Linked DNA regions of Nothobranchius furzeri. The protein of the gene in region 1 purifies or fractionates together with the protein of each later gene. This does not show direct contact. Links are inferred from orthologs where the notes say so. Each region holds a gene or a part of one and is shown in the gene's direction. Other genes may lie near its edges. The genes, in order: ptpn18 and pstpip2.

Region 1 (9,956 bases):
ACCATAAAAATCAGCAAGTTAGGACAAAAACAGCATTACATCACACGACTATAAAATCTATACAAATGAGAAAGAGTGACAAAATAAAATCATCCTACATAAAAGCCAGGTTGAATAAATGAGTTTTAAGCAAGGACTTAAAGATATCCAGACTTTGTGAGGTCCTGATCTGCAGAGGAAGACTGTTCCAGCGTGTGTGTGTGTGTGTGGGGGGGGGGGGGGGGGGGGGGGGGGGGGCAGAAAAAGCCCCATCTCCTCTCGTCTTTAGGCGAGCCTTTGGAACTGATAATAAAAACTGAGCCCGACCGCAAAATCCTGGCAGGAGTGTGAGGTGACGATAAATCATCTATATAAGGAGGGGCCAGACCGTAAAGTGATTTATAAACAAAAAGCAACAATTTAAACTGAATCCTGTGACGCACTGGCAGCCAGTGTAGAGAAGCGAGCACTGGAGAGATGTGAGCACGCTTCCTTGTACCTGTTAAAAGGCAGGCTGCTGCATTTTGAACCAGTTGCAAGCGGTTTAAGGAGGAATGCCCTAATCCATAATACAGGGAATTGCAGTAATCTAGTCGACAGGAGACAAAGAGATGAATAACAAGTTCAAAGGCAGTTTCCGGCAAATAGCACTTAACCTTTGCAAGTTGCCTCAAGCAAACGTCTCGAGTTAATCAACTTATCTCTACCCTGAACCTGATGCTGAAGATGTGTGTGTGTGTGTGTGTGTGTGTGTGTGTGTGTGTGTGTGTGTATGTGTGTGTATGTGTGTGTGTGTGTGTGTGTGTGTGTGTGTGTGTGTGTGTGTGTGTATGTGTGTGTGTGTGTGTGTGTGTGTGTGTGTGTGTTTATTCAAACGAGTTGCAGCCAGTAAACCCAGAACCTGACTGAAGGTAAAACATGTAAATCAGGCTCCTAGACCAGAAGCTTTGACACCAATTTTGGTCACATGACTCCAGCTGAATCTGAAACACCCTATTTCCTGTTTCACAGCCTTCTTTCGGATCCCTGGATCAGTTTAATCACGTAAACTGTAGCAAAGTTACAGAAAGCAGTTGTTATGCTATAATGAGATTCAAATAGGCTGAGGTTGGAGGTCAAAAACAGCTGCTGTTGGACCTAGGACCTCTCAGGCCCTCATGGCAGATGACTTCATCTGATCTCTGAACTCTGGAGAGCCCCAACATGAAAACACAAATATCACCTGAAAAATACAGCGGACCAAACATGGTAGCAGGAGCGTACAGCAGGAGCATACAGGTGTGTGTTAGCAGGAGCATACAGGTGTGTGTTAGCAGGAGCGTACAGGTGTGTGTTAGCAGGAGCGTACAGGTGTGTGTTAGCAGGAGCATACAGGTGTGTGTTAGCAGGAGCGTACAGGTGTGTGTTAGCAGGAGCGTACAGGTGTGTGTTAGCAGGAGCGTACAGGTGTGTGTTAGCAGGAGCATACATGTGTGTGTTAGCAGGAGCGTACAGCAGGAGCATACAGGTGTGTGTTAGCAGGAGCGTACAGCAGGAGCATACAGGTGTGTGTTAGCAGGAGCGTACAGGTGTGTGTTAGCAGGAGCATACAGGTGTGTGTTAGCAGGAGCGTACAGCAGGAGCATACAGGTGTGTGTTAGCAGGAGCGTACAGGTGTGTGTTAGCAGGAGCATACAGGTGTGTGTTAGCAGGAGCGTACAGCAGAAGCATACAGGTGTGTGTTAGCAGGAGCGTACAGGTGTGTGTTAGCAGGAGCATACAGGTGTGTGTTAGCAGGAGCGTACAGCAGGAGCATACAGGTGTGTGTTAGCAGGAGCGTACAGGTGTGTGTTAGCAGGAGCATACAGGTGTGTGTTAGCAGGAGCGTACAGCAGGAGCATACAGGTGTGTGTTAGCAGGAGCATACAGGTGTGTGTTAGCAGGAGTATACAGGTGTGTGTTAGCAGGAGCATACAGGTGTGTGTTAGCAGGAGCGTATTGCAGGAGCATACAGGTGTGTGTTAGCAGGAGCATACAGGTGTGTGTTAGCAGGAGCATACAGGTGTGTGTTAGCAGGAGCGTATTGCAGGAGCATACAGGTGTGTGTTAGCAGGAGCATACAGGTGTGTGTTAGCAGGAGCGTATTGCAGGAGCATAGAGGTGTGTGTTAGCAGGAGCGTACAGGTGTGTGTTAGCAGGAGCGTACAGGTATGTGTTAGCAGGAGCATACAGGTGTGTGTTAGCAGGAGCGTACAGCAGGAGCATACAGGTGTGTGTTAGCAGGAGCGTACAGGTGTGTGTTAGCAGGAGCGTACAGGTATGTGTTAGCAGGAGCATACAGGTGTGTGTGTTAGCAGGAGCGTACAGCAGGAACATACAGGTGTGTGTTAGCAGGAGCGTACAGGTGTGTGTTAGCAGGAGCGTACAGCAGGAGCATACAGGTGTGTGTTAGCAGGAGCGTACAGGTGTGTGTTAGCAGGAGTATACAGGTGTGTGTTAGCAGGAGCATACAGGTGTGTGTTAGCAGGAGCGTATTGCAGGAGCATACAGGTGTGTGTTAGCAGGAGCATACAGGTGTGTGTTAGCAGGAGTATACAGGTGTGTGTTAGCAGGAGCATACAGGTGTGTGTTAGCAGGAGTGTACAGGTGTGTGTTAGCAGGAGCATAGAGGTGTGTGTTAGCAGGAGCATACAGGTGTGTGTTAGCAGGAACGTATTGCAGGAGCATACAGGTGTGTGTTAGCAGGAGCATACAGGTGTGTGTTAGCAGGAGCATACAGGTGTGTGTTAGCAGGAGCATACAGGTGTGTGTTAGCAGGAGCATACAGGTGTGTGTTAGCAGGAGCATAGAGGTGTGTGTTAGCAGGAGCATACAGGTGTGTGTTAGCAGGAACGTATTGCAGGAGCATACAGGTGTGTGTTAGCAGGAGCATACAGGTGTGTGTTAGCAGGAGTATACAGGTGTGTGTTAGCAGGAGCATACAGGTGTGTGTTAGCAGGAGCGTATTGCAGGAGCATACAGGTGTGTGTTAGCAGGAGCATACAGGTGTGTGTTAGCAGGAGTATACAGGTGTGTGTTAGCAGGAGCATACAGGTGTGTGTTAGCAGGAGTGTACAGGTGTGTGTTAGCAGGAGCATAGAGGTGTGTGTTAGCAGGAGCATACAGGTGTGTGTTAGCAGGAACGTATTGCAGGAGCATACAGGTGTGTGTTAGCAGGAGCATACAGGTGTGTGTTAGCAGGAGCATACAGGTGTGTGTTAGCAGGAGCATACAGGTGTGTGTTAGCAGGAGCATCAGTTTGAACATTTTCAGCAGTTTTATCATTTGCATGTATACTTGGTCCTAAGCATTTGTGCAGAAGTCTTTGTCCAACCTCTTCTGGACCTCACTGAGGACGTTGTTCTGGACCGATGGTACAAGAAGCAGAACTTTTACAGTAGCTTAATGTCGACATGTGCAAAAAGATTTGAGATCTGACAGTAAAACTGGTTCAGAACCATCATCCTGTTAAAAGTCCAATCAGAACAGAACACGTATCTGACCTGCTGATGCTGACAACGTGTTCTGGATCAGGTGGGTCCAGTCTCAACTCTTCTGCTTGCTGACCCTCAGTGGGTCTCCATGCAGTGTAAGGACCCACATGATCCAGCAGGGTCAGGTTGCAACGGGCAGTTCGGATGAGGCAGGGCCGGTTCTGGTTCTGGCTTTGGTTCTGGTTCTGACTCACAGCAGTGTGTTGACAGGAATGTTTTCATTCCTGATTTCTGGTTTCAAATTGGTTCTGGACTGACTTTGCTGTTGCCTTGCAGTGAGAAGGTTGCTGGTTCTAAACCAGGAGATTAAAAAAACCTCTTTTCCAGTGGTGTTCTGGCCGCGAGGCAGCGACATTTAACCGTTACAGCGTAGAAGCAACGGTAAAATATCATAGATCATCATAACTACTGATGGTTTCAGCTTTTGAATTCATTTAAGGAATCGTGTTCAGTCGGTTTCCAGACTCTGCAGCAGGTTCCAGTCAGAAGGAGCTGAAGAGGCAAAGGCCATCCCACTCATCGGTACAGATCACAGTGATGTGTCATGGCTCTACAGTTGGTGATAAACCTCAAAGACGCACGATGAACCGAGCAAGAGCAGCATCCGTATAAAAACAATCAGCATAATCTAACACGGGTAAAACAGTAGCAGTGACAAGGCGCTTTTATGCTTCGAAAAAAAGAAAAACACAACATTTACGGAAGAAAAATACTAACTTAAGTTTTAGTTTCTTCACCAGTTTCTTTGTGTGTGGTTTCAAAGTACGTGAGTCATCAATCAAGACACCCAGGTACTTGTATTCATGGACAACATCCCTTCCAGAGCGGTCACCACTGGAATAACATCTGGCCCGTTCCTGCTGGACAACAGCATTAGCTTAGTCTTCTCAGCATCGAGGACCAGTTTTACCTGATGAAGCGAATGCTGGACTACAGCAAAAGCTGAAGTGTCACAACAATAAATAACTGTATCATCAGCGTAAAAGTGCATATTTGCATCAGGAACATTTTGACCCAAGTCATTGATGGACAAGATAAACAGGAGTGGCCCCAAGACCGAGCCCTGGGGCACCCCCTTCCGCACCACTCCAAAGTCAGAGCAAAGACACAGTGATGTCACTATAACAGAAGCGTGTGTGTGTGTGTGTGTGTGTGTGTGTGTGTGTGTGTGTGTGTGCGTGTGTGTGTGTGTGTGTGATTACAGGTGGTGCGCTCACAGTCTCTGCAGATAAAGAGAGAGCTGAATTTGACCTCACAAGTCGGAGCTCTGAAGGAAAACATCAAGAAGAATCGTTACAAAGACATCCTGCCGTGTACGAGGACACGTCTGGTCTCCTGCTTTCCTCCCGTCAAGTCCTTCTTCTTGTGTCTCTGTCCGAGTCTGTCTCGTAACATCATGTCTGCTTCAGATGGCCAAAACTGACAAAGAAAATGAAAAATGCCTTTATTGTTAATTTGGACTTTTAATTTCTTATGACTAAATCTGAACTGTGTGTGTGTGTGTGTGTGTGTGTGTGTGTGTGTGTGTGTGTGTGTGTGTGTGTGTGTGTAGATGATCAGACCCGGGTGGTGTTATCCCAGCAAACCGCTGACGCACATTCTGATTATATAAATGCCAGCTTCATCAAGGTGACGAAGACTCAAAAACTCTAACATCACACACACACACACACACACACACACACACACACACACACACACACACACACACACACACACACACACACACACACACACTTGTCGGATTGAACTGCTGCTGCTTGTAATGCACCTGGTTGTCCTGCAGGGGGCGTCAGGGGACTGCAGGTACATTGCCTGCCAGGGGCCTCTTAGCTCCACCCTGACGGACTTCTGGAGGATGATCTGGCAACATCACATCAAGGTCAGAAACACAACATAAACCGTTGGTGTCCAGGAAGTAGTCTGATCCATGAAGAGAGCAAAAATTAACTGATTTCAGGTTTTATATTTGTTTTGTTCTTGTGGTTCTTACACACATTTATTAAGTCAAATCAAGTCAGTTTTATTTGTGGAAAATGGCCGGTGTAGCACCCTCTTGGAGTTCTACAACCCCCAACCCCATTCACACACGGGTGGGGATGAGCTACAACGTAGCCACAGCTGCCCTTGGGCGCACTGATGGCGGCGAGGCTGCCGAGCACTGGCGCCGCCCACCAGTCTCTCTTTCCACCATTAGCAGGCAAGGCGGGTTAAGTGTCTTGCCCAAGGACACAAGAGCAGCATTCTCTTTCAGGAGCCAGGATCAAACCTGCAACCTTCTGACTACAGGACAACCCGCTCTGCCTGTTGAGCTGCTGCTGTCCCTATTCATAAAGCCCTTTCCTACGCCTGGCCAAGTGGCGGACACACACGCGTTTCATCACACAGTAGAATCAACATAGAGAAACGCTAAAGTCGGTAAAAAATCATTTAGTACAATAAATGATTAAAAGTCAATAAAAGCTATAAACGATAAAGCTAAAGAATAATTAAGTGTTTTTAATCTCAACTTAAATGTTTTTACATGTGTTTTTGATACCTTTAACACGATAAAAGGGTTTTTTTTTTCAGTCCAACTGCATCCGGAGAAGATTGATGATGTCAGAGCAGCAGAAACCTAAAAGTGTGGTTCACACTTCAAATGATTAAGTCACTCTGAGGGTTTCATGCAGGCTGAACATGAAAATAGTCTCCTACACCTATCTCCTGCATTAGCTTCTGATAGAAAACAGACGGTGAAACTCTAGGATTAGCAAATCCTGACAGATCTACGTCACACTGTCACCTAATGTTCATGGACTCACCCATCTGGACTCACGACTGGGAAGGCTGTCGTTGGTTTAGTCCAGGAAACAGCAGAGAACATCTCTGCTAGCACTGTTAGCATTAGCAACTCCACCACACAGCAGAACTCCTCTTGACTTGTGCTATCTGTAGAGTTAAATCATCAACATTGCAGCGCAAACAGAGTCAGCGGTAGAGTCGTGCTGCTGTTAGCCAATCAGAGGAGAGACATCTGAATATCAGGAAGTAAGACTCCCGATCCTGTTGTCTGAAGCTCAGCTGATGTGGCTCCTTTCTAGTTCCTGGAACGGGCTCACCGGCGCTTTTTCCCCGGAGTACGACACACAAGGCCTTCATTCCTACTAGAGACCATTGCACATGTGTTGATTAAATGAGCTACCCACATCTCTGAAGTGTGTGTTAACGTGAATGGATGATCACAAACTAATAAGCAGTCAAACTGTCCAATCAGAGGTTTTTACAGTCGGGCCCCTCTGACTAACACCCCTCTGTTTCAGGTGATAGTCATGGCCTGCAGAGAGATCGAGATGGGGAAGGTAAAGCATGTTTTATGCGTGTTTGTTTGATGTGTGATTGAAACAGCTGAACACTAAACATCCGAGCAACCTTCCTGCAGAGAAAGTGCGAGTGTTACTGGGCTGCAGCTCTCCAGCCAGTCGTGTTCGGACCTTTTACTGTCCGCTGTGTAAGTTCACCCACAGGTCACACAGAGGTCATGTTTAATTAACACGTAAATCAACAAGAGTCAGATTCAGTTTCAGCTCCTTGTCCCGGCTGTCCCTGTGTGTCTCCAGCAGGGAGAGACCAAACCCAACAAGGACGTCGTGGTCAGAAATCTGACCGTCAGCTACCAGCAGGTCCAATCCCAATTCTGACGTAAAACAAAGAAGCTGCTTCCTCCGTGACCTCCTCTTGTCCTCCTGCAGGAGACCCAGTCGGTGATCCAGTACCAGTACACATCCTGGCCAGATCACGACGTTCCCTCTGACACGGCAGGAATTCTGGACCTGCTGGACCGAGCCAGAAGCAGCTGTGGAGCTGACCCGTCACCTCTCCTGATTCACTGCAGGTGCACACACACACACACACACACACACACACACACACACACACACACACTGAACTGCAGTTGACTTTGTATCATTACAGCAGCTTGTTTGTAGCAGCAGCACTGATCACAGGTCAGCTGGTCATTAACATTTAACAGGACAGCGTAACACACGCAAGCACACACACACACACACACACACTCACACACACACACACACACATGCACACACTCACACACAAACACACCCACTCTAGAGCAGGAGGTGGTGAATATGCAGCAGGTAACACCTGCTAACGATGGCACAGTTAACATGCTCAATGCATCTGTTAGAGTCTGTGTGTGTGTGTGTGTGTGTGTGTGTGTGTGTGTGTGTGTGTGTGTGTGTGTGTGTGTGTGTGTGTGTGTGTTATAGTGCCGGCTGTGGGAGGACAGGAGTCATCTGTGCTCTTGACTACATCCATGACCTTCTGGTTGCCACGGTAACACATGATAACAACTCCTGCAAACCAAGCTCATTTAAAAAAAATCTCTTCGTAAACAAACGTAAGCCAGGACAGGTTCTGGGAGGGTTCCGAATACTCGGGCCTGGGTCCAGAACCCAAATAGGGTCCTCCTCATGTTTAAAGGCTAGAAAGTCCAGGAACCACTTGAGCAAACATCTGGGACCATCAGATCAGTTGGAGGTCCTCCAGCTGCTCCCAGGTTCCTCCGTGGCCTGAATCACAACAAGAAGTTAAAGAATCCATCATGGATCTGGTAGCTCAGCAGGTTCTCCTACAGCAAGTCAACCAAAAGAACCAAATGAAGCCTTGAGAGTCTCAGCTAGAACATGGGTACTCGGTCCAGACCGTCTGAGCGGTTCTGCCTCTGTGGCGTTTGTTTTTCTTCACCCTTTTGTGTTGTTGGTTCTGCAGCAGATTCCTAAAGGCTTCAGCATCCTGAAGGTCGTCCTGGAGCTCCGGAAACAGAGACCTTCAGCAGTGCAGACCCAGGTAGGCAGATCCACGAAGGCTCCTCACACCAGTCCCTGGTCTTACTCTAGTTCCTGGACCCGCTAGTCGTCACTCTGGTGTGTGAACCTGTTCTCCGCGTTTGACCCGTCTCCTGGGGGAGTGGTGAGCTGCAGACACGGCTGCACTCGGGAACCGTTTGGTGGTGTAACCCCACCAGTCCAACCTCTTTATGCTGAGGGAGACACTGGGTTCCATTTCTGAAAGTCTAGTCTACTAGTCCCTGGTCCAGACCAGTCCCGGTTCCATTTGCTTCTCTGAGTTTTCGTTGGAGATGGTTCTTCAAGCAATGCTTTCTGAGGATTTGTAGAGCTCAGTGGTCCAGGCTAGACCTCGTCCCTCACACCCTAAACTCCCACCAAATTCTTTGAACAGTTCCTGAGGTTCTGCTAGAAGAACCCAGGATCCATCCAGTGTGTCAAACTGGATCCTCCAACATCCAGACTGAAGTGGGCCTGTCTCTAAGACCATCAGAACCATGATCAGCTCATTAAAGGGACTCTTCACTCAAACAGAGACCCGTCCAACCCGGCTAAAGCACCTGCGGTGGCCGGACGTCAGCAGGTGGTGCTGCTGAAACGTTCCTCCACCTCAGACCAGTTCCAGGTGTGTGACTGGACTCTCTTTTCCATCCAGGACCAGTACCAGTTCATCTTCAGCGCCGTCATCCACATGTTGGAACGCTTCCTCCAGAAGTCGGATCAGCTGTACTGGAAACAGCAGGAGGTACGCAGTCTGAGCTGCTCGGGGGTTGGGAGGGAGGTGCCGTCGTGACTTTAGAGGAAGTTGTTCCACAGCTGCTGCAGAAACAGGAAGTGGTGACACTGATTTCCTGTTTGTAAATTCTGAGCCGCCCACAGTTTGACACAGGTTTGTCCAGAACATTCAGATGAGAGGAGCCAGGTAGGACATCACACACACACACACACACACACACACAGTTCGATCTGATGGGAGGAGCTGTTCAGGAGGTCGGAGGACCCCTGTACCCTGCTGCTGCTGTGCGTCTGATGGACCACCTGACCCTGAGTGGTTCCATCATGACGGTCTGTTCACTCACCTTCCTCCCAGAGGAGATGACGACGCTGTGATCTCTGGTTGTGTTCCTGGTGTCGTGCCCAGGACGCTGATCTGATGTTGAAACATGTTTTCCTTTTTTGTTCTTTTTAAACTATTCTGCCGGAAACAGAAGCTGCGAGCTGAACGGAGAAATTTTTTGTTATTAGGTGAAGAAACTTGAGAAGGAAGCTTCAACGCCAGCGGCTTTCTCCATCAACAGGTACCGACCCGCAGAGAGACAGACGGCGCGTTTCACCCCGAGGTGTTGAATTAACACGTTCTCACCCTCTTCTGCCAGTCGTCATTCCACCATCTCCATATGTTACCACGTTACCATGGAAACCTGTATGAGTGAGGCTACAGGAAGAGAGGGGGAGAGTGAGAGGCAGCGACAACAATGGAGGTCCCAGAGCTTAAAATCAGACAGCAGATGAGACGAATGAAAGGTTGAGAGAGCAAGAGAGAGAGAGAACTGTGAGAAGGAGAAGAGGAAGTGTTGGGGGGGGGGCGGGGGGGGGGTGAACAGAGGAATGAAGGAGA
Region 2 (10,495 bases), on another chromosome or scaffold:
AGATCCTTAATACAGAACAGCTTATTTGTTGTTGTTTTAAATAGACTTTTTTAAATTTTGCATCCATTCACAGGCAAAACGTTAAGAACTTTCCACTGCAAGTAAATAACTTTATATCCTATAACCAAGCACTGAAAGTTCAGATACAAAACATGCATGAATAATATCAGCTGGTAAACCTCCATTATCCCAGCCACTGGATCAGAATCCTCCCATCATTAGTTCCTCTGTATGATATCGGTCCAAAGTCCTCCCCGGTAACCGGTGAGATGTACACCTCCTCTCACTGCCGGCCACCAGCAATGACTCCACCACCCAAGACTCCTCTGTGTTGGTTGGTTCAGTATTTTCCACAGCCGTGATTCCTTTAAATCCACTCAAACCCACTGAAATCCTTCGGTGTGACGTCTCAGCTGATCTTGTGGACGATCTTGTATTTTTCCATCAGTATATGCAGGAGTTTATATTTCCAGTAGAGCTGATCTCCAACTTGTCTGAGCTCTTGGGCACAGACGTCAACAGCTGCGTCACTATCTAGGAAGAAAAATCAACAGCATGAACATCAAACGCTAACATTCGCAAGTTAAAATAGTAGAAGGATAAAATCAATTTACTTTAATCGACAAGTTTGTTCAAATTCTGTTAAAAACTCACCTTGTTTGGCCATTTTTGTCCTGAGTTCCAGTAAGAATGCTGAAGTTTGTCTCGCTCGGTGCACTTTTGTATTCTTCTGTTGTGTTTTGACAAGACAGAACAGGTTTAAACTAAGAATAGGAAACAGAACGCTTATATAGTCGGTCGATGTGACGAAATTCCCAGCAGTCAAAGCCAAGTTCCTCCCACACACACACGAGTCTACTCGTGTTTACAGTTTTATCTTTGCATCCTCTAATCAGTCCCATAACATAAATGCACTATCTTTACACTCTTTGCACATGGTTGTCCTGTCTGTACTGGGAAATGTGTTTTAAAGATGTTAAAAACTGACAGATTCATTAATAAATGTAATAAATGAGATATCTGGTGAGATCGCAGCAGGCTAGAATCAAAAGTAAAAGCAACAAGAGGAAAACCCAGAGTGAATCACATGAATGTGACATCATCAGCAGACGATAGTTGTTGTTTTCAAGAACCCTAACCCCACCATAAAGCTGATTTATCTCAGAAGTCAGCACACCGAGTCAAAGAGCTTTACCTTTTCTGAGCTAAACTCAGCAATAGCTTATCACAATGTTCAGAACACACAAATTATGTTTTTTGGGGAAAGGGAAGCACAATCATCATGTGATCATCGGCGGAAGAAGCAGGAATTCTTTCCATCGCCTTCAGATCAAATGGAAAATCTTGTGAGACGTTAGAGTGCTGCAGGTATCTCAAACGTGTTTGAAGTTATTACCCCACTGCTAAAAGATCAACGTCCTCAGAACTGGGAAGTCCCAGAAAAATACGCCATTCTTCAGTCAGGTGATGTGAAGGCTGGGCATTTTGCATTCATGTTGCATCAGTCAGGGTGTGTGAATTAGCAACATAATGTATATACTTTTGATTTCAGTGTAAAATAAGCGAGGCTGAGTAAAGTACTAATTTAGATGGTCATATGTTTGTGTTGTTTGTTATTGTGGGTGGTTGACTGAGTTTTATGTCGTATTTGAATCATTTACGCAGGATACCCATTATTGGCCTTTGAGGGTTGCTATCCACCATTTTTTTACTTGTTAACCTAATCCAACAAATTTCATTCAATGGCTGCATTACCTCTTCAGCAGGTCATTAAGCTCTGCAGAAGCATTTTACTCTCCTAGAACCCATTGTGTTGGAGTAGAGAAACACCTAAAACATACTGAAACGGATCAGGCACCGCTGATTTACACATTTGCTTGATTGTATTGATTGTATTTACCCAAATCATCACCCTTCCACTATCGTGCTTGTCAGCATTTTCCGTGCTATTTCCTCTAAATTTCATAGTGTGCAAGGACATTGCTTCAAAGGTTTTCAAAACTTTTCAAGTTTTAAAAAGAAAAATTATTTCTTTGCTTCCTGTTTCAAACAATTTGTTATGAGTTGAAACATTTTTGATCCCTTGCCCTGCCGCCAACATGTCTTCATCTAAAAGGCTAGGTTATCCAGTTACCTCTGTAGTTATGCTGCTATAGGCTTAGACTGCTGGAGGACATACTGACCACTTCTCACACTCTACTGCTTTCTTCTACAAGTTGCTCTTTAACTGCATTATTTCCTGCTATTTCAGCTGTTAACTTAATTTTTTCTCTAAGTGTTTTTCTCCCCAGAAGAAGCTACAATGATGTTCTGCTGAGCTGTGGTAGCCTCATGGGGGGGCATTGGCTTGCCTTGAACACTGTTGCTAACCACTTAAACTTTCTTCATTTCCTGATAATAACATTTTACTTGCTTTGACATTGAATGTGCTACTACTAGTTTACCCATTTAATTATAGATCCACTAGGATAAATACAATAAAGTTAATCTCTCATCAAATAGAATTTACTAAGAAATCACAATGTAACCATAGACACACTACTTGGTATGTATGGTGTGTGTGTGTGTGTGTGTGTGTGTGTGTGTGTGTGTGTGTGTGTGTGTGTGTGTGTGTGTGTGTGTGTGTGTGTGTGTGTGTGTGGGCTGGCGTTGGTGTTGGTGTGTGTGTGTGTCTTCTCTGTCTTCTCGATCCCCAGTGAGTCGTGGAGGATGGCTGCTTATACTGAGCCAGGATTCTCTGGAGGTTTCTTCCTGTTAAAAGGGAGTTTTCCTCTCCACTGTCGCTAAATGTTTGCTTAGTATGGGGATTGCTGTAAAGTCACTGACACTAGTCAGTGACTTGATGCAATCTGCTGGGTTCCTTATATAGGAAACTTTTTACTGATTGGCTTAATGAACTGACCTGTATTGGAATGTTTACCATGTGAAGTGCCTTGAGACGACTCTTGTTGTGATTTGGCGCTATATAAATAAACTTGAATTGATTTGTTGCTTGTAAACCACATTGTTCTTTATTTTTTTAGAGCATCTTAGACTAGTTAAATCTTACTGGGTAATGTGGATTTGATTCGCAGCACCTGTTGCAGTAAAAGTGTACTTATCTCAAACTGCTTCTGCATTCTTGGCTTGGTTTTGTTTTTTTAATACTTAAGAATACTTCCTTATGCGTCATGTGTTGTTGCTCTTCTCTGGTGTTGCATGCCTCATTTGAAAACCTGTTGATATAAAGAGAGGCAAATAAAAAAGATTAAAATAGTTTGTGACAAATCTTTTTTTCTAATATTTCAGACACAAATTTGCCATTTAGGACTCTAAACCCATAAAATCAACTTAGAGTTTTCTGATCTATTGACCACCAAGAGTTCAGATGAAAGACATAACGTTATTTAATTGGCTTAACAGGATTAGCAGATTAAAAGTTAAAGGTGGAATATGGAACATGAACACGAAAGTGGTATCTAGTGTGTGGAGGTTGTAGTTGCAACAATAGAACGAAGTTTCCAGCCGTGAATTTTCTTATTAAGGTTCGTCTGTTGTAGCTTCACCTAAACTCACTCTGGTTTTAGATCTTTTATGGTCGCTCCTCTTCTGAGAGGGATAACAATATAGCTTTTAAAGGAAATACCATACTTTCACTCTGCACATCTCTAAACGCCCCATGGAGGTGTTATTTTTTTAAAATATAGCTTTTTATGAAATTGTTCCATAGTCCACCTTTAACTGAATGATGGTCTGTATTCAGGCGGATTGAGGAAGTAAGTGGCTGGCCTTTGTGGCAGCTGATGATTGGCTGCTGTCACGTGAACTCACACATGAAAAACTCCCAAAGCTAAACAGAGTATATAAAAATGAAAGAGCTGCTATTATAGAGAAGAAATGTGACAAAATGTTCCATTTCTCTGCTCACATGTTCACATTTCTGCTTATAGTAGAACTGTAAAGTGTGTTTTTGTTTTCTGTTATCATGCTGTTGTGTGCGATTCTGTTTTCACCGTAAATGCACTATGAACCTTTTTAATCAGAGACTCTATAAACCGTGTACTCCAGATGTTCTGTTTGGCTGTGATGTTTTGCTGAACTGCATTTGTCTGGATGTAACGAATGACCTCGCCCTCCAGGTTTTTGGACATGGTGTGAGAGAAGAGACAGTGCGCTAGCTGGATTTCCTCACATCCGATGGTGTACATCGATAAAAGTCTCCATGTTGTGACATTACATAACAAGCTGTTGTAACTGACAGTAAAAACAACAAAAATTAGACAAGAAGTTGAATTTCTTCTACAATGCTGGTGTAGCTCGCAATTATAGTACAAAAGATTTTTTCTCATTAAATATTCAAATGTTTAATATCTAATATTTAATTAAGCTTAAAATAAACAAAAAGCATGACAAATGTTACAAGCTTTGATGTTTTGATGTTGCAAACTCTAAAAGACAGATTACATTTTCCATAATGAGAACATGTTTATTTTTATTTTAGTATGACTTGTAAAAATCTTTAAATAAAAATGTGGGGAAAAGTGCCTTTCTGCATCAACTGCCTGTGCTGGAGGGCCACAACTCACCCATATAAAATCCATGTTATTTTTAATTTAATTTAATTTAATTTAATTTAATTTAATTTAATTTAATTTAATTTAATTTAAACCCTAAACCTAGACCCTCTTCTTCCTATCTGCAACCCCAGTAGCTTCCACTAGATAGCAGCACATTCTTTAAAACTTTTTCATCACTGCTTAATTTTTCTGGCTTGCTTGTAATCCCCAGTGCGCATGCGCTCTTTAAAATGACTGGTTAGATCAGACAGTTCACTCTCGTCTCAGGGAAACAGCAAGAGTAGGAAGATTCGCCCTGGCAGACAAACAAAACCCGCTGGACGGTTTCAGTTATGAAAAACCTTCATTTCAAGGATTTCTTCTGGGTGAGTGATTTATCTAATGTTTTATTTTGAAGTTAGCTCAAAATTACTTTAGGTAGACTTTCATTCTCTACTGAAAATCCTGTCATAAAGTATCGCAATCAGCTTTCATGTGACAAATTGAAATTAATAAAATTCTACTTTTGAATAAAAATAATGTAAATGTTTCTATAATTAAGCTTTGAAATAAACTTTTTAACCTGATGTGAAGAAAATTCTACACAAGAAGCATGTTTACAGGCTGCTGCATTCAGGGTATAAAATTCCAAATATATCATTACCTGTGTTTATGCAGAAAATTCCTGCATTGGGATAAAGTGTTAAATAAAGGAAAATGTTGTGTTTTAATTGTAATTATTGTTCATGATAAAATGGATGACATGGACATTGATTGTCTTTTTTTTTTTGGTTTTGGTTTTGCTTAAAGACCTCAGATCTGACCTCTACTGCTGGCTATGATGCCATCATTCAGTATCTCAATGAAGGCAAAAGAACGTGTAAGGAAGTGGAAGAATTCATGAAAGCCAGGTAATGACACGATCAAGGCGTGTTGCAGAAACTGCCCACATGTGCCAGTTGTTATCTGTGCAGATTTAATGTTTGCGTTTAGGAAATTAATCTGCAAAAATAAAAAAGAGAAGATTGCATGAAAATGAAACCTAGAAAACAGGAGGGACATGAACTAGCTATAGACTCTGCAAAGTTTATTGCTTAATAAAACGTTTACAGGACGTGAGGAAGGAAGTAGCTCAAATCAAAACCAAACAAAAATGTCTGCTAATGTTTCCTGGTAGGGTGAGAAGAACTTCTGAAATGATAGAAAATTGATTCCCGACCATAAAATTACGAACGTTCAAATTTAAGACTAAAATAGTAGTCCTTACAAATATGAAACATACATTTTATTGTATGAAGTTGAGTTTTAAATCCCTTCTTCCTGAAGTGATAATCAGTCCTCATTCTAACACACACGTACACACGCGCGTGCACACACACACTCTTGTCTGGCAATCCTTGTGAGGACCGTCATTGATTTTCGTTCATTCGTTCATAACGCTAACCCATTGTGCCTGACCCTAACCCTAACCAATGCTGTTCTATCCTTAACCCTAACCTAAACCAACGTTAGTTCACACTATACCTCTAAAACCACATTTAAGGGTATTTTGTCATTGTGTGAATTGGCCAGATGTCCTCACAATGTGGAAATGTTCACACACTACAGGTTAAACGTTAAGTTTAAGTTTGTCAACTTAAGCATATAAAGTACACACACACACACACACACACACACACACACACACACACACACACACACACACACACACTAAGCCAAGTCCAGTTTTCAGTCACTGACATCATCTCAGCTTGATTTGTTCCACAGACGTTCATAAGTAATAAAGTTGTGTTACGGCCCGGTTCACTAAACATCTGCACAGACATTAAACCCCCTGAAACATAATGGGGGGTATTACATAATAACATAACTGAAAGTTCCCTAAATTAAGAATTGAAGGGGTTTAGTGAAACACGGTGGTTTGTAAAATACAAGAAGTAGCACTCATGAGCATGAAAGAAGCTGTAAGAAAACACTTTGACACTTAGTCATCCAGTGTTTGGGTCTTTCTTTAGCTGATCTGTGGAGAAATCCATGAATTCCATTAATCATTAAGAGTTTTGGCACCTGATCAGTCAGACTCGGTTAAATAAACAGAAGTGTCAGTAACGTGTAGTGGAATAAGTCAGCGGGGACATTTCTGGTTGGCTTGTCTTATGGGGCCAAGCCTCATTATGGTTGATGTGTGACTTTATAGAAGGCCAGACTCATTTTGTTCCATCTGTGTGAATTATCAAACCAACATAATATTGAAAACTGAACTTGTAGAATTGCATTGCATAACCCAGTTGTTTTAGTTAAAGGCAGATTGGTGTGTCTAATGTAACATATCAAAGGCCTGTGCCATCTCCCACCTGCTTTCCTATGTAAATTAGTAGGGATGCTCCAATCAGGTGTTTTGCTGCCAATATCTGACACACACACACACACACACACACACACACACACACACACACACACACACACACACACACACACACACACACACACACACACACACACACACACACACACACATTATGAGGTTGGGTTTAACCAGTTATCAAGGCTCCTGATTCAATGTGAGCCCCAACAAAGTTTCGTATGCTTATAGAGATGTGAAGAACAGGTTAAAAACATTTTAAGGGATCAAGAGAGCAGAAGAAGTTTCTTGTTCAGATTTGGAGATTTGACCCACTTTTTTGTCATTCATAGTTTCATTCGCTTACATGTGAATTCATAAATGTGTCCATTCCCTGATAGGTAGGACAGAAACTGAATATGAAATAAACCGTTTTCTGCAGGTTGTTCTTGGGCTGGGCGATACAGCCTAAAAATAAAATGTCCAAATTTATTTAATTTTTTTATTCGATTCATGAATTTTTTTTACGATTCTCTCTCCCCTTCAATTATTAAGAATAGCAATAAGAATAAATGGAAGGCACATTCAAGCCAATTTAGTTTTTTATTTAATCACAAGCAAGGTAAATGTAACCCTCATTTCTGAAATGAATAATGAATAAATGAACACCCTCTTGGAATAAAAGTGCCACACTCCACGTCCGTCACTGCAAATCCAAACCAGTTCCAAACAACGGATGATTTAATTCCTTTCTTAGGAACAAACATCCCACTCTCACTGGTGGCCATGGAGTCGCTTGCTGTTGCTGTTTCATGCGCGTGCTGTGACGTTGTTGTCGCGGTTATGTGAAACAAATGCTACGGAAGCTCGGGGGTGGGGGGGGGGGGGTGGGGGCGGGGGGGGGGGGGCAAAAAGACGTTATTACATAAAAATTTGATTTACTTTTTTAAATCACCCAAACAAAAAATTTGAATTAATTGATTAAATTGATTTGTCACCCAGGCCAATGTTGTACAGTCACTGAGTGACTTTTCTGTATATTTTTTCATATTAATATGAAATGGTTTTGAGCTTGTAACATCTTGACTCACTGTGCTCTGTTGTGATTTCCTTTTTAGGGCTACAGTGGAAGAGAAGTATGCCAAAGATCTTCTCAGTTTGTCCAAGAAGGTTTGTGGACATAATGAGATGAAGTAAGCAACCTGCGGGCCCACACACTGTTATTATGAGCTCCACCTGCCCTGTTTACCTCAGGTGTCTGATAATTAAATGCACAAGTCTGTCTTTTAGCAGCTGACGTGGTGGATTTAGATCCTGGTCAGATTCTTTAGCTGTTGCTGTCAAATGAAACCAATGACTATTTATCAGTTTCTTCGTGATATTTTTGTCCACCAGCTTTTTGGCTTCCTGTTCAGTCACATGATTAGCCTAGATCTGAATCTGTGTAGGGGCGTTAAGTGTTTAGAGGAAGAAATTAGTGTCCATGACTCAATTCAATTCATTTCAAGTTTATTTATATAGCGCCAAATCACGACAAGAGTCATCTCAAGGCACTTCACATAATAAATATTCCAAACAGTTCATCAAGCCAATCAGAAAAAAGTTTCCTATATAAGGAACCCAGCAAATTGCGTCAAGTCACTGACTGGTGTCAGTGTCTTTACTGCAATCCTCATGCTAAACAAGCATTTAGAGACAGTGGAGAGGAAGACTCCATTTTAACAGGAAGAAACCTCCAGAGGATCCTGGCTCAGTATAAGCAGCCATCCTCCACGACTCACTGGGGATCAAGTAGACAGAGCAGACACACATACACACACACACACACACACACACACACACACACACACACACACACACACACACACACACACACACACACAGGCACGCACGCACGCACGCACGCACGTATGTGCGCACACACACACACATCATATATACCAAGTAATGTGTCTATGGTTACATTGTGATTTCTGAGTAAATATTCTATTTGGTGAGCTATAAAGTTTTTTGTATTTATCCTAGTGAATCTATAATTAAACGGGTAAACTAGTAGTAGCTCATTCAATGTCAAGAAATGTCAAATGTTATCATCAGGAGAAGGAGAATGATTAAGTGGTTAGCAACAGTGTTCAAGACGATGGCCCCCTCTATGAGGCCACCACAGCTCAGCAGAACATCATTGTAGCTTCTTCTGGGAAGAAAAACACTTAGAGAGAAAATACAGTTAACAGCTGAAATTGCAGAAAATATTACAGTTAAAGAGCAAATTGTAGAAGAAAGTAGTAGAGTGTGGAAAGTGGTCAGTGTGTCCTCCAGCAGTCTAAGCCTATAGCAGCATAACTACAGAAATAACTCTGGATAAACTAGCCTTTTAGATAGAGGCATGTTGGAGGCAGGGCAAGGGAGAGCTGTCTTTACCAACTGTACACTCCACCTCCCTCTACTCCCCCACTTGTCTAGATCTAGGCTAACATCAGATTTTAACCATAGGCTCTATCAAATAAAAATGTTTTAAGCCTGTTCTTAAAAGTAGACAAGGTGTCTGCCTCACAAACTAAAGCTGGGAGTTGGTTCCACAAGCGAGGAGCCTGATAACTAAAAGATCTTCCTCCCATCCTATTTTTAGATATTCTGGGAGCCACCAGTAAACCTGCAGCCTGAGAGCGAAGTGCTCGGTTAGGAACGTATGGAACAATCAGGTCACTGATGAATGATGGAGCTTGATTATTAAGAGCTTTATATGTGAGAAGGAGGATCTTAAAATCTATTCTGAAATTAACAGGTAGCCAATGTAGGGAAGCTAAGACAGGAGAGATATGATCTCTCTTTTTAATTCTCATCAGAACTCTAGCTGCAGCATTTTGGACAAGCTGAAGACTTTTAACTACATTCTGCGGACTTCCTGAGAGTAATGAATTACAGTAATCCAGTCTTGATGTAATAAATGCATGAACTAGTTTTTCGGCATCACTTCTGGAAAGGATTAATCTAATCTTAGCAACATTCTGAAGGTGGAAAAAGGAAATCCAACAAACCTGTTTAACCTGGGATTTGAATGACATGTCCTGATCAAAGATAACACCAAGGTTCCTTACTTTGTTCTCGGAGACTAATTTAATGCCATTCAGGTCAGGTGATTGACTAAGCAATTTCCTTTTCTAAATTTCTGAAGATGAGAACTTCAGTCTTGTCTTGATTTAAAAGCAAAAAGTTTTGAGTCATCCAATTTTTTATGTATTTAAGACAAGCCTGTAATCTAACTAAGATTAGGTTAATCAGAGTTAATGGATAGATATAACTGAGTATCATCAGCATAACAGTGGAAGTTTATCCCATACTGTCTAATGATTTTACCAATTGGGAGCATATATATAGTAAAAAGAATTGGTCCAAGCACTGAACCCTGTGGTACTCCACAAGTAACCCTGGGGTATGAGGAAGATTTGTCATGTACATTTACAAAATGAAATCTATCAGACAGCCTGTAATCTAACTAAGATTAGGTTAATCAGAGTTAATGGATAGATATAACTGAGTATCATCAGCATAACAGTGGAAGTTTATCCCATACTGTCTAATGATTTTACCAATTGGGAGCATATATATATATAGTAAA

The links.
Region 2: the proteins of ptpn18 (region 1) and pstpip2 purify together in Homo sapiens (affinity purification with mass spectrometry; 4 studies listed by BioGRID and IntAct, with this or other methods). This does not show direct contact. The link is inferred for Nothobranchius furzeri from reciprocal best matches to the Homo sapiens genes PTPN18 and PSTPIP2.

What each region holds. Positions count from the first base shown.
Region 1 is NC_091755.1:47,281,431-47,291,386, forward strand, and holds part of ptpn18 (tyrosine-protein phosphatase non-receptor type 18), read left to right. Parts: intron 1-4,695; coding exon 4,696-4,804; intron 4,805-5,043; coding exon 5,044-5,120; intron 5,121-5,277; coding exon 5,278-5,373; intron 5,374-6,793; coding exon 6,794-6,832; intron 6,833-6,912; coding exon 6,913-6,981; intron 6,982-7,090; coding exon 7,091-7,153; intron 7,154-7,222; coding exon 7,223-7,365; intron 7,366-7,759; coding exon 7,760-7,826; intron 7,827-8,261; coding exon 8,262-8,339; intron 8,340-8,993; coding exon 8,994-9,083; intron 9,084-9,583; coding exon 9,584-9,678; intron 9,679-9,956. UniProt on the Homo sapiens protein: Differentially dephosphorylate autophosphorylated tyrosine kinases which are known to be overexpressed in tumor tissues.
Region 2 is NC_091746.1:59,937,452-59,947,946, reverse strand, and holds the start of pstpip2 (proline-serine-threonine phosphatase-interacting protein 2), read left to right. Parts: upstream 1-4,762; 5' UTR 4,763-4,888; coding exon 4,889-4,921; intron 4,922-5,345; coding exon 5,346-5,446; intron 5,447-7,994; coding exon 7,995-8,069; intron 8,070-10,495. UniProt on the Homo sapiens protein: Binds to F-actin. May be involved in regulation of the actin cytoskeleton.